3 linked regions of the Diceros bicornis minor genome follow. The protein of the gene in region 1 purifies or fractionates together with the protein of each later gene. This does not show direct contact. Links are inferred from orthologs where the notes say so. Each region holds a gene or a part of one and is shown on either strand. Other genes may lie near its edges.

What was found.
Region 2: the proteins of TONSL (region 1) and MCM6 purify together in Homo sapiens (affinity purification with mass spectrometry; 3 studies listed by BioGRID and IntAct, with this or other methods). This does not show direct contact. The link is inferred for Diceros bicornis minor from reciprocal best matches to the Homo sapiens genes TONSL and MCM6.
Region 3: the proteins of TONSL (region 1) and ASF1A purify together in Homo sapiens (affinity purification with mass spectrometry; 4 studies listed by BioGRID and IntAct, counting the BioPlex papers as one, with this or other methods). This does not show direct contact. The link is inferred for Diceros bicornis minor from reciprocal best matches to the Homo sapiens genes TONSL and ASF1A.

The regions. Positions count from the first base shown.
Region 1 is NC_080760.1:57,048,729-57,052,474, reverse strand, and holds the start of TONSL (tonsoku-like protein), read left to right. Parts: upstream 1-1,303; 5' UTR 1,304-1,385; coding exon 1,386-1,410; intron 1,411-1,502; coding exon 1,503-1,598; intron 1,599-1,814; coding exon 1,815-1,957; intron 1,958-2,532; coding exon 2,533-2,716; intron 2,717-3,086; coding exon 3,087-3,216; intron 3,217-3,514; coding exon 3,515-3,686; intron 3,687-3,746. UniProt on the Homo sapiens protein: Component of the MMS22L-TONSL complex, a complex that promotes homologous recombination-mediated repair of double-strand breaks (DSBs) at stalled or collapsed replication forks.
Region 2 is NC_080749.1:21,382,054-21,385,799, reverse strand, and holds the start of MCM6 (DNA replication licensing factor MCM6), read left to right. Parts: upstream 1-850; 5' UTR 851-891; coding exon 892-998; intron 999-3,746. UniProt on the Homo sapiens protein: Acts as a component of the MCM2-7 complex (MCM complex) which is the replicative helicase essential for 'once per cell cycle' DNA replication initiation and elongation in eukaryotic cells.
Region 3 is NC_080762.1:17,474,193-17,477,938, forward strand, and holds the start of ASF1A (histone chaperone ASF1A), read right to left. Parts: upstream 2,679-3,746; 5' UTR 2,374-2,678; coding exon 2,265-2,373; intron 1-2,264. UniProt on the Homo sapiens protein: Histone chaperone that facilitates histone deposition and histone exchange and removal during nucleosome assembly and disassembly.

The sequences.
Region 1 (3,746 bases):
GATATTTTCTGTGTGTAACTACAGTTTAAAAAAAGTTCCAAACCATGTTTTGTCTGTGTTTCCTTATGAGAAGACAGCCTCATGGATGGGCTTTCCTGGGTTCTGCTAGCTGCCCAGCCAGGGGTCAGCTGCTGCCCCCGCTGGCCCCCAGCCTGTGGCCTCCCCACCCTCCAGCCCCTGCTCAGCATCACCTCATATACACATCCCTGTCTGATCAGTGGCGAAACTGAGGCATACAGAAGTTGGGTGCTCTCAAGGGGAATAGGGCCCCCAGGACCTGGGCTGTCCTGTGAATGCGGGCGCTGGAGGGCGAGCCAGGTCAGCTGGGGAGGCTCCCTCCGCCGTTCAGCTGAGCCAGTCTCTGCATCCCTGGCCTTGCTCCCCCACCCCGCCTCCACCGTCGCCCCTCGCTGTGCCCCGCACAACTTACCGCCAAGCAGCCGCCTTGGCTTCAGGGCCTCCCTGTCCTGCGTCCTGCGCCCCACACCCCTGACTAGGGGCCAGGCAGAGCACCTCACCCTCCAAGAGAAGAGGACGGCCACCCGGGTCCAACTTCCCACCTCCTGCAGCTCCTCGGGTTCGGTCTTGCCCCGACCCCTGCGGCCGGGCACTGGCCCTGGGCAGCCTTCCCTGGACCCATGGACCCATCCGCCCCCACGTCACTCCCTCCCCAACAGCTTGGCTGTGCATCCACTGGCTGAGTTTACCCCACTGGTCTGTTTCTATTTCCACAGAAAACAAATGAGTCCATCTCCCAGGGCTTCCAGCCTCCTCTGGGGCCTTTGAACGCGGCCAGTGCGTGGCTCCCAGGCCTGGCGGGGCGTGCTGTGCGCGGCCCTTACGTGGGGCCCGGGTGCGCGGCGTCCGCCAGGCACCGCAGGTGAGCGGTTTGCGCTACGGGACCCCGGGCCTGGATCCGGCCCCTCCGCCAGCAGCACCGGCCTCGAGTCCCAGAGGTGCCGGCTGCCGGACTCGCGGGTTCCGCGGTTCTGTGGGAGGGGGCAGCTGGTGCCGCCTCCTCTTACACGAGGGCAGCGCGTTCCGCAGGTAAAGTCGCACGTGCAGGTAGGTTTCTTGAGGGGAGGGGGTGTCAGCAGCAGCACGGGGCTAGAGCCCAGGAGACCTCCCCCAGGGCGGCTGAGGGGCCGGGGTGGGGGGCGGTTCAGCTCCCTGGGCCGCCCCGGGAGTCCGGGGAGGCGGGCACCAGCCAAACTACAGCTCCCAGGATGCTTCGGGCGGCTGGACTACACTTCCCGGGATGCTCCGCGGCCCGCGGGGGCGAGACTGGGCCTGCGCGCGGGCACTGGGGGCGGGGCCTGGAGCGGAGCCGCAGTGGTGGCGCGGGAGCGCGGGAAGTCTGGATCCCCGTGTGCGGCGGATGGAGTATGAGCCTGGACCGCGAGCTTCGCCGTGAGTTCCCCGGCCCAGCGCGGGGGCCGGGAGCGGGCCTGGCCCCCTAGGTAGAGGGGCTCAGCCTCTCGGCCTCGTTCCTCTCTCTGCAGAGCTGAGCAAGGCCAAGGCCAAGGCCCAGAGGAGCGGGCAGCTACGGGAGGAGGCCGCCCTCTGCCACCAGCTGGGGGAGCTCCTGGCCAGCCATGGTGCGTGCTCCGCGCCGGGCCCGGGGTGGGGCCCGGGGCTGGGGGGCCGGGAGAGTGAGGGGGGCAGCCGGGAGGGCCGTGGGGGTTGTGGGGCCGGAAGGGGGCCGGAAGGGACAGGGGACTGGGAGCCTTGCTGAGCGCGCCGCCCAGGGCCGGCCGCCGCCCCGCTTGCCCTCGCGGCCCGTGGCAGACTGCCCTGCCCGCCCGCCCGCCCAGGCCGCTACGCGGAGGCCCTGCGGGAACATCAGCAGGAGTTGCAGCTCCTGGAGAGCGCCGACGACCCCCTGGGCTGCGCCGTGGCGCACCGCAAGATCGGAGAGCGGCTGGCGGAGATGGAGGACTACTCTGCTGCCCTGCAGGTGGGCGGTGCCCCGCCAGCACCCACTCTGGCCACACCCCGCTTTTGTGGGCCGCACTTTGTGGGGGTCTCTTTCTGAGAAGGGAGGCACAGTGTCCACTGTCCGGGCCTCTGGCCACATGGGGACACCCTGCAACGCAACCTCACTTTCAGAGAGCCTTGTGCCAGGGAATGGTAGGTCAGTCCTTAAGTGGACACACACAGCCTCTTCTAGGAGCCTGGCCCCAGAAACCATTACCAAATGTATTATTTGAGCTGCGTTTGTGGGCCGGCTGGGGGGGTCGGGACACACTGTCCACACAGAGCCTGCCCTGCAGCAGCCCAGCTAACTCCTACTCATTGTCCCTCCTCTATGATGACACTAGCTGGCTGGAGTGTGGAGCTACTGTCCCCACAGGCAGCCCTTGGCATAGAGGAGATGGGGTGTGCGTAGTTTGGCTTTGGCCTGCTCTGGGGGGTGGTTTGAGGAGCAGGGGGCTCTCCTGGGCAAGAGTAGGGACGCCCTGGAGTTGGGGGACATGGAAGGTTTGCTTGAAGTGGGGTTTGGCTCACAGCAGCCATTCCTCTGCACCCTAGCACCAGCACCGCTACCTGGAGCTAGCCCATTCCCTGTCCAACCATATTGAGCTGCAGAGGGCCTGGGCTACCATTGGCCGCACCCACCTGGACATCTATGACCACCACCAGACACAGGATGCCTTGCTGCAGGCACAGACTGCCTTTGAGAAAAGCTTGGCTATCGTGGACGACAAACTGCAGGGTGAGTGCCCTCAGGGGCATGGCCTTCCCCACCATCTGCCCCCAAAACTGCAGGCAGAGGAGGTTGCAGCCTCCCTGCCAACCCTGCCTGCGTGGCAGGTTCCACCTGCCTGAGCCCTCCCTTTGTGAGACGGAGATCTGTCCTTAGAAGCCCTGCTATGAGGGGATGCATGGCCTGTGCTCATTGCAACGTGGCATCTGGTGATTGTCTGCTTTTTGTTTTTCCACACTCTGCAGCAGGACCCTTGGCACCTACAGTGAGAGGTGGGAGGAGGGGTGGGGGAGAGGCTGGACGGGCCTTGGACAGGGCCCAAAGCTGGAGACTCCAAGTGGGGATGAGGCACTGAGTATCTGGAGGGTGCGTCTTTCAGGGACATTGGCCAAGCGAGAACTGAGCGAGATGAGGACCCGACTCTACCTCAACCTGGGCCTCACCTTCGAGAGCCTGCAGCAGATGACCCTGTGCAATGACTACTTCAAGAAGAGCATCTTTCTCGCTGAGTAAGGCCCCCCACTCGGTCCCAAGAGGGAGCTGAGTCCCTGTTCCTGGTGGAAGTAGCTGGGGAATGGGCAACTGAAAGGGCAGGCTGGCTGGACCTCACCCCCGCCCCGTCCGTTTCCCATTAGCAGAGGAGCCCTGGCATGTGTGTGCTGCATGCTGGGGGGGGCAGCAGGCCTGGCGTGACAGGGCTGGAATCCCGAGTGGCATCAGCAGCTGCTCGTCAGTGCCTCGGGTGCCACTCTGCCATCCCAAAGTGGGAATGCCCCAGGCACTCTGAGCGCCTGTCACCACCCGCAGGCAGAACCACCTCTATGAGGACCTGTTCCGCGCCCGCTACAACCTGGGCGCCATCCACTGGCGCAGAGGGCAGCACTCCCAGGCCATGCGCTGCCTGGAGGGGGCCCGGGAGTGCGCACACATCATGAAGAAGGGGTTCATGGAGAGCGAGTGCTGCCTGCTCATCTCACAGGTGCCAGTTCTCAGTGGCTCTGGGCTCAGCCCCGGGGAGGCCTTGGGCCTTGGGGAGTCT
Region 2 (3,746 bases), on another chromosome or scaffold:
TTCTCTTAATCTCTTGGCAGCCCAGGAAAGAGTGCTGGCTGGTGATACACATTTAGAAGTCATCAGCACCCAGATGTTAATCAAAGCCAAGGGAGAGAAGGGGGTCGCCCAAGAGAGCTCCTTTACGGGAAAGGAGGGCTCTGGAACCAGAACATTTAAGGGACTCGCTGAAGAAGAGGCGCCTACAAAGGAGGCTAACCAGGAATGGCCCAAGAGATTCTCCTATCGGGAGAGGAAAGACGGCCAAACAGGCGGGAAGGAAGACCGGGGGGGCGGCAAGCCAAGCCCGCGTTTAAGAGAGGAATTAATCAACAGTGTCAAACATTTGGCTAATTTTCCTCGGTCAGCACCAACCAGAATGATTCTGCCAACTCCTCCATCTCGCCGGTACTGTCTATACATCCCTAGTGGCTCTTTTAGTTTTACCCAGCGGTTTACTGTTTACTTTCTCCAATCAGACGGCTCAAGCAGGAGGTCTCTTACTCATTTTTCTCTTTCACAGAGCCTTACGCCTACTGCTCAGTTAATACCGTGGAATGATTTGAAGAACATTTGAACACCTGAACAAAGATCCAACCTTACAACTTGCTCCAGAAGCCAAATTCCCCAGGACACGACCACACTGCGCAGGCGCAAAGGCAGAAGCGCCGGCTTTCTCCGGGTCTTTGCGTTTGGCGCGAAATCCCCGCTCCGTGGGCGGGGCTGAGGCAGAAGCCGCGCTCATTGGGCAGGTTTGGCGCGAAATCCCCCGGGCTCCTGCGCCACGATTGGCTCCGTACGTCCAGGTGGGGCGAAGGGGCGGGGAGGCGGCGGCGCGCGCAAAGCGACAGCGTCCGGGGGGCAGCGACTTGTGGCGGTCGAGCGTGGTGGCCCCGTCAGCGCTAGGCAGCCATGGACCTCGCGGCAGCGGCGGAGCCGGTCGCCGGCAGCCAGCACCTGGAGGTCCGCGACGAGGTGGCCGAGAAGTGCCAGAAACTGTTCCTGGACTTCTTGGAGGAGTAAGTGTGCGGGCGCCCCTTCCTCGCGGAACTGCCCCTCCCCGCTTCCGGAGCCCGGGGGGCCGTGGGGTCGCTGCGTGTTCGGGAACCGAGGTGTCGCGCGCCTCTCAGAGCGGCCCACGCCCCACTTGGGGCTCAGCCTGGCCGCCGCGAGGAGCCCTGGACGGGCTGGGCTGGTTTCCAGGGGTACAGTCCATCTCGAGCCCTCCCTCAAACTCTTGCTGGGCCCAGTGCCCAGTGCTAAGCGCTTTACTCCCATCGCTCGGTCCTCACAGCCCGTGAGGCCGGTGGTCGTGTAGCCCCGGTGCCCTGCGCGGAAACTGAGGCTCGGTGAGGAGAAGTAAGAGGCCACGCGTCGACAGGGTCGGGCGGGAGGCCGAACTGGCCTTGGAATCCTGGCGGAGCCCTCATTGGACAGGCAGCCAGCACCCGGGTGCTGGGAGCCCCGAGGCCCCCCGCAGCCCTCGGGGCCTGTGCAGATGAAAGTACTGGAGTGAACCCTGGGGTTTGACAGCTGCTCGGTGAGGGTGAGCCCTGCCCTGCTTAAAAGTAGCTGAACGTACGCCCTCCATCCCCTCCTTCCTTCCTTTCCTTCCAACCCCCACCCCCACTTTTTTTTTGAGTTGCCTTCTAGGCTCCTGACCTCTCCTAACCCCCTCCCTGACTTTCCACCACGGCCACAGTTACTTCTCTTAGATAGTGTAGATAACATCACTGCTTTCCCTGAGAGTATGGTCTCTGCTGCCTCCAGGATGAAGTGGAAACACTATGGAATGTCTTATAAAATCCTTTTTTTTAATTGTAGTAAAATATACATAACATAAAATTTACCGGTTTAACCTTTTTTAAGCATAGAGTTCGGTGGCATTAAATACATTCATCTTGTTATGCAACCACCACCACCATCCATCTCCAGCACTCCTCTTCCCAAACTGAGACTCTGCACCCACTAAACAAGAACTCCCCGTTCCTCCTGCCCCCCAGCACCTCGCAACCACCGTTCTGCTTTCTGTCTATGAATTTGACTGCTTTAGGTATTTCATATACTTGGAGTCATACGGTATTGGTCCTTTTGTGACCAGCTTATTTCACTTGGCATAATGTCTTCAAGTTTCATTCATGTCATAGCATGTGCCAGAATTTCCTTTTTCAGGCTGAATAATATTTCATTGTATGTATATACCACATTTTCTTTCTCCATTCATCTATCCATGGACACTTGGGTTGCCTCCACACTTTTATGATTGTGAATAATTCTGCTGTCTTATGAAATTCTAATATACTTAAAACCATAATTTAATTTATAGTTCCTTACCTTTGGTGGTTATTCTCTGCTTGACAGCGGAGAATAGCTAAAGCCTAGCTAAAGGCTCATACTTCCTTTGTGAAACCCTATAAACTTTCCAGGCAGCACCAATCCTTTCTTCCCTTATGCTCCCAAGATGCCATTTTCCGTTATCTCTTGTAATGTAACATTATGTCTTTACCTGTCACCCACTTCATTTTGAATATGAATCCCATCCTTAACCCCACCTAGGCACCACACTACACTGCAAAGGTCCTCAATTAATGTTTCATTTCAACAAATAATATAATTGCCTCCACTGCCTTGCAGTTTACCAGGTAGCTAGATGCTGGGGACAATGATGAACAAGACAAATAATCCCTGTACTTTGTTGGGGGAAAAGATGTTAACTCCCTCTCAAAATAACCAACTTTGATTTGCCATTGCTTATGGAATAAAGGCCAAATTCTTCACAAGTCCTCTTTCCAGTTTCGTCTTCCACAACTGACCTGTCATCATCCACACTCCCCCCCATACCTTTTCTGACTTTGCCACATATTTGCAAACATCTGTAGCCAGTCTATCCACCACTCGTTTTTCTTTAAGATTGTAAGTCTTTCAAGGCTGAATTCCAGTGCCACCTTTTAGATGCATGAAGCCTTTCCAGATGTTCCTGTTAAGCAGAATTAGTTTAAATTCCCTTATCACATTTCTTTTACCTCCTCCTTTTTTTTCTTTCTTTTTCTTTTTTTATTTTATTGTGGAAAGAACACTTAACGTGCGATCTGCCCTCTTAAACAGATTTTTAACTGTACAATATATTACTGTTAACTGTAGGTACAGTGTTGTACAGTAGGTTAGAGCTTATTCATCTTGCTTGACTGAAACTTAATGCCGGTTGATTAGTACCTCCACATTTCCCCCTTCCTCCAGCCCCTGGCAACCACCATTCCACTCTTTGATTCTATGAATTTGACTATTTTAGATACCTTATATAAGTAGAATCATGCACTATTTGTCTTTCTGTGATTGGCTCATTTCACTTAGCTTAACCGTCTTCAAGGTTCATCCATGTTGTCACATTGCAGAATTTCCTTTTTTAAGGCTGAACAGTATTCCATTGTATGTGTATACCACATTTTCTTTCTTTATTCATTTGTCATGGACATTTAGGTTGTCTTGTACCGCTGTTTAGTAGGAATGTCTGCTAGAGAGTGTCAACCCAGGAACAACACTGTCATTTTCAGTTTCAGGTACCTTTGGCATAGTACTTTGCGTATAGATGTTGTTCAGTAAATATAACAGAGTTAGAACATGCTATTATAGGAGAAGGAATTGATTTCACCTCAAAACTAATCTGCGTGTTATGTTAAAAGACCAAAAAGCAAATATGTTTGTATAATACTCCTTTTGGAAACAAGCACACACCAGCTTTATTTTGTGTATATATATGTTTCTGTTTT
Region 3 (3,746 bases), on another chromosome or scaffold:
TTAAGAACTGCAATACGAAAGTATGGAACCTGTAAGAAGCCTTTGCTAAGTAAACTCAATTTTCTTAATCCACACAGCCTCTAGGTGGAGTACACAAGCACAGCTCCTTTTTGAAAGATTCCTTTGCAGCTTCGGTATGACTCAGCTTAAACTCTTTGAAAAAATATTAAATAAATGCCAAGTATAGATGCCCAGGAAAGTGAGGTGTACAAGCAGAAGTAGGTATATTCTTGACATTAGTATTGTAAAAACTCTGATGTGATTCAGCTGAGTTCTGAATAGATCCCAGTTAAGAATGGAGCATAGTTGTGCTTCCATGAATGGCGGGTTTCAGCCATCCAATGTTTAAGCCCTGTAACAACATCCTGAATCATCTATCATCCTTGTCAGAACTAGCTCCTAAAATGGAAGGCATCACTTGAGAAATATCTGTAATTTGAAGAACTTCTAATGTCTAAAACACTATAGTATATGTTGGAATGGACTGATCAATGGTTTCTGTTGCATTCACTCATTTTTACATGCAGATGGCAATAAAAAGGAAAAGTTAGTGCCTGTTAGGTATGAAAAATGGGCCTGGTAGCTGAAATGCTTATAGTAGTACTCCAGGAAAGTAATCAAATGGTTTCAGAGTGATACGAAAAATCATCTTTAATTTTTATTATCAATGGCCTATTTAAAAATTAGTTTAATAAATGAATCATCTTTCAAAATGTGACACATATATGTGTATACAGGCTTTATATATGTATTAAAACTGTATGGGAAGAGCACAGATTAAAGTGTTAATTATGGTTACACACAGGAGTGAGTTGGGTGAAGGCACTGCATACAGAGGACTGTTTATATGTCTGTACAACTTTTAAAAGTTTATTACAATGAGCATGTATTGCTTTTATAATTTAAAAAGTTAACACCCTACACAAAATACATTTTATAGAGATTAAAAATTAATTTTTAAAGTGAAAATGCTTTACATGCCATTAGAATAATTTTAAATGCATTTTGTTAAGTATACTTGTAAGTCCAAAGAAGTATGTCTGTCTAATTGTAAAATTACCATTGATGAAGTTAAAAAGTTTTTCCCCTCAAATTTTGAAAATGAAGCACTGGACTATTTTAACAAAATCTAAGAAAAGCAAAGATAAGACCTTGGCAAGTTTTAGCTTTCTAAATGTTACTGCACATATTAAAAATATTTCTCTTTTTGAAGACCTTAAAATGAACTTAGAAAAAATAGTAAAAATTTTTGTATTGCCATCAGGACTTTACCTTTTATTTCCTAGCCCACTTTTGTGTTTTATGTTCAGGGTGTTTGGATGTGGAGTTATTTTAATTAGGTTTCAACACGTTCTTGAAGCAAGTCTTCTTTCAGACTACTTAGAAGCCAGTGATTACATTTAAGTATTTTACTTATTTCTGCTCTTGGGTTAAATGTAACTTTCTAGCTTAGCAATATTTTTCTTCCTGAGAGAGAGGAGAGAAGATTTAGTCATTACGGAAAAGGAGTCCACGCAGCCCGGGGCGAGCCTGCGCGCCAGCATCCCGGGCGCCCCGAGCATCCCGGGCGCCGGCCGGGCGGCAGCGGCCGGGAGCCCCCGCGGCCCCGGGGAGCGGGCCCGAGCCTGCGCCCGCCTCCCCCGCTGGTTGGTCGAGGGAGCCCGAGATCCGCGCGAGGACAGCCTGGCTCCCCGCGGCGCGGCCGGGCACGGCCACCCAGGAGAACGGCAGCCCGGCGTCAGCTCTAAAAATGGATCTGCCTGGCGCTCGGGGGCAGGAAGGTGGGCAGGCGCCGCGCCGCGCTCGTCACCCGCGGAGAGGAGGCGTCGTGACGCCGGGGTCGGTGGCCCAATTCTCTCCTCCCGGTAAGATGGCTCCGCTGCTCACTCGCCGGCGCGACCACACACGAGCCTGTCCCTCCCCGGTCTCCTCGCCGGGGCCGCCGAGGCCGTTGGCGGCTCGGGGCCAGCCCGGCGCGACCCCCGGCCCCGCGACCCGCCCGCCCGCCAGACAAAGCTGACAACATGGCTCCCTCCGCTCGCACAAGTTCCTCGCAAGTTGAGCCGCGGCGGGCTTCCCGGCTGCGGCCGACCCGCGCGCGCCTCGCGCCGGCGCCCATCAACTTCAAGTTTCCCTCCGCCGAGCCGAGCCCGCCGGGCGCCGAGCCGCGGCCGCCCGCCCGCCCGCGCGAGGCCGGGCCCGGGAAACTTTCAACGTCTGCAGCCCGCAACTGACAGCCCGGCGGCGGGCGGGCGCCCACTCACCTTCAGACAGGTCCTCGATGCACTCGAAGGTGATCTCGAACTGGAACGGGTTGTAGAAAGGAGAAGGGTTATCCAGCACCACTACATTGTTCACCTGAACCTTTGCCATATTTTGAAAACACACAAACAATGGGGCCGGGGCTTGTTGCGGCACAATAAAGTCCAGCGCGCGGCCGCTCGGGAGAGCGCAGACCCCCGCCCCGGCGCCGGCCCGACGTCGTGCAGCGGCGACTTGAGAAACTTTTTTTTCCTCTTTTTATTTACACGGGAACACTCCACAGTGTTTTGCAGCTTTCCTATTTCACTAAACTACAGCCCATTCTGCTCTGATAACTAGCAGCGTTGCCCGCGATTGGCTGCACCCGAGCTCTGACCCTCCTCCTCCAGCGAGGGCCGCGGCGGCGAGCAAGATGGGCTCCCGCTCCCGGAATGGACTCGGAAACTTTAACTGCGGCTCCACCTGCTGGTGTGGATTAGGACAAAGGCGGAGAACAAAGTGAGTGGAATACGGGCTGGGAGGCCCGCGCGGAAGCCGCCGGCTGCGGCGGCGGCGGCGGCGGCGGCGGGGGGGGGGGAGGGGCGGCGCAGGCCCCGCCCCCCGGGCCCGCGGCTCCCGCGCGTCACGTCGGGCGGGGCCCCGGCGGGGCGGGGCCGCGGCCGAGGCGGCGGGGGGCGTGGCCGCGGCGGGAGGCGTGCTTGCGGCAGGCACGGCGGCGGGAGGGCGCGATCTTCGGCGACACCCGCCCCTCCGGTTTGCTTCGTGTGGTTTCTTTTAACGCTGTTTTTACATCAGTCCAACGGCTGTGCCGGCTCTGTACTGAATTTAGCAGATGTGATTCGGTTGTCCACACTAGGTTGGCTTCAGCTATCTATGCATTGAGTAGTATTTGGGGTAGAGAGAAGAGTTGGTTGCAGTGGAAATAAATTGCATTTTATAGACCGATACCAGCTCGAAAGGAGCAAAGCCATTTTGGAAATCTTGTTCTCGGCCAATATCTGCGTTTGGGCGCCACAGCGCCGTTAGTTAAATATACAAAATGAAGAGCGAGGAGGCGCTTTTCCACACACGCTTTGCTTGGAAAATCTGAATAGGTAATATTTGGGCTCCACCTGGCTCTTCTTCCTCCCATTCCCATCTGCAAAGTCCTAGAATAAGAGGAAGAGATGTGATCAGTTACACCGGAGGTTTCTGCCTTTTGGTAGGCAGAGCGGAAAAAAAGAAAATGGAAGTGTCAGGAGACCAAAGGGCGGCAGATGAGAAAGGAAAAGGAGAGTAGAGAACACACAGGCTTACCAACACAGTGATTTTCAAAAAACTCATGACCTAAATCGTTAGTAAGTAAAAACTTAGGGCACCACAAGCAAGTCTGGAGGAGGCTTTGCTTAATTCATCAGCCCTTAGTGTCGATTCGTGTATGCTGCTTGACTACCGTTGTGGGGAGAGGGAGAGCTTTTAACACACGTGTGAGGTGGTTGAACTGT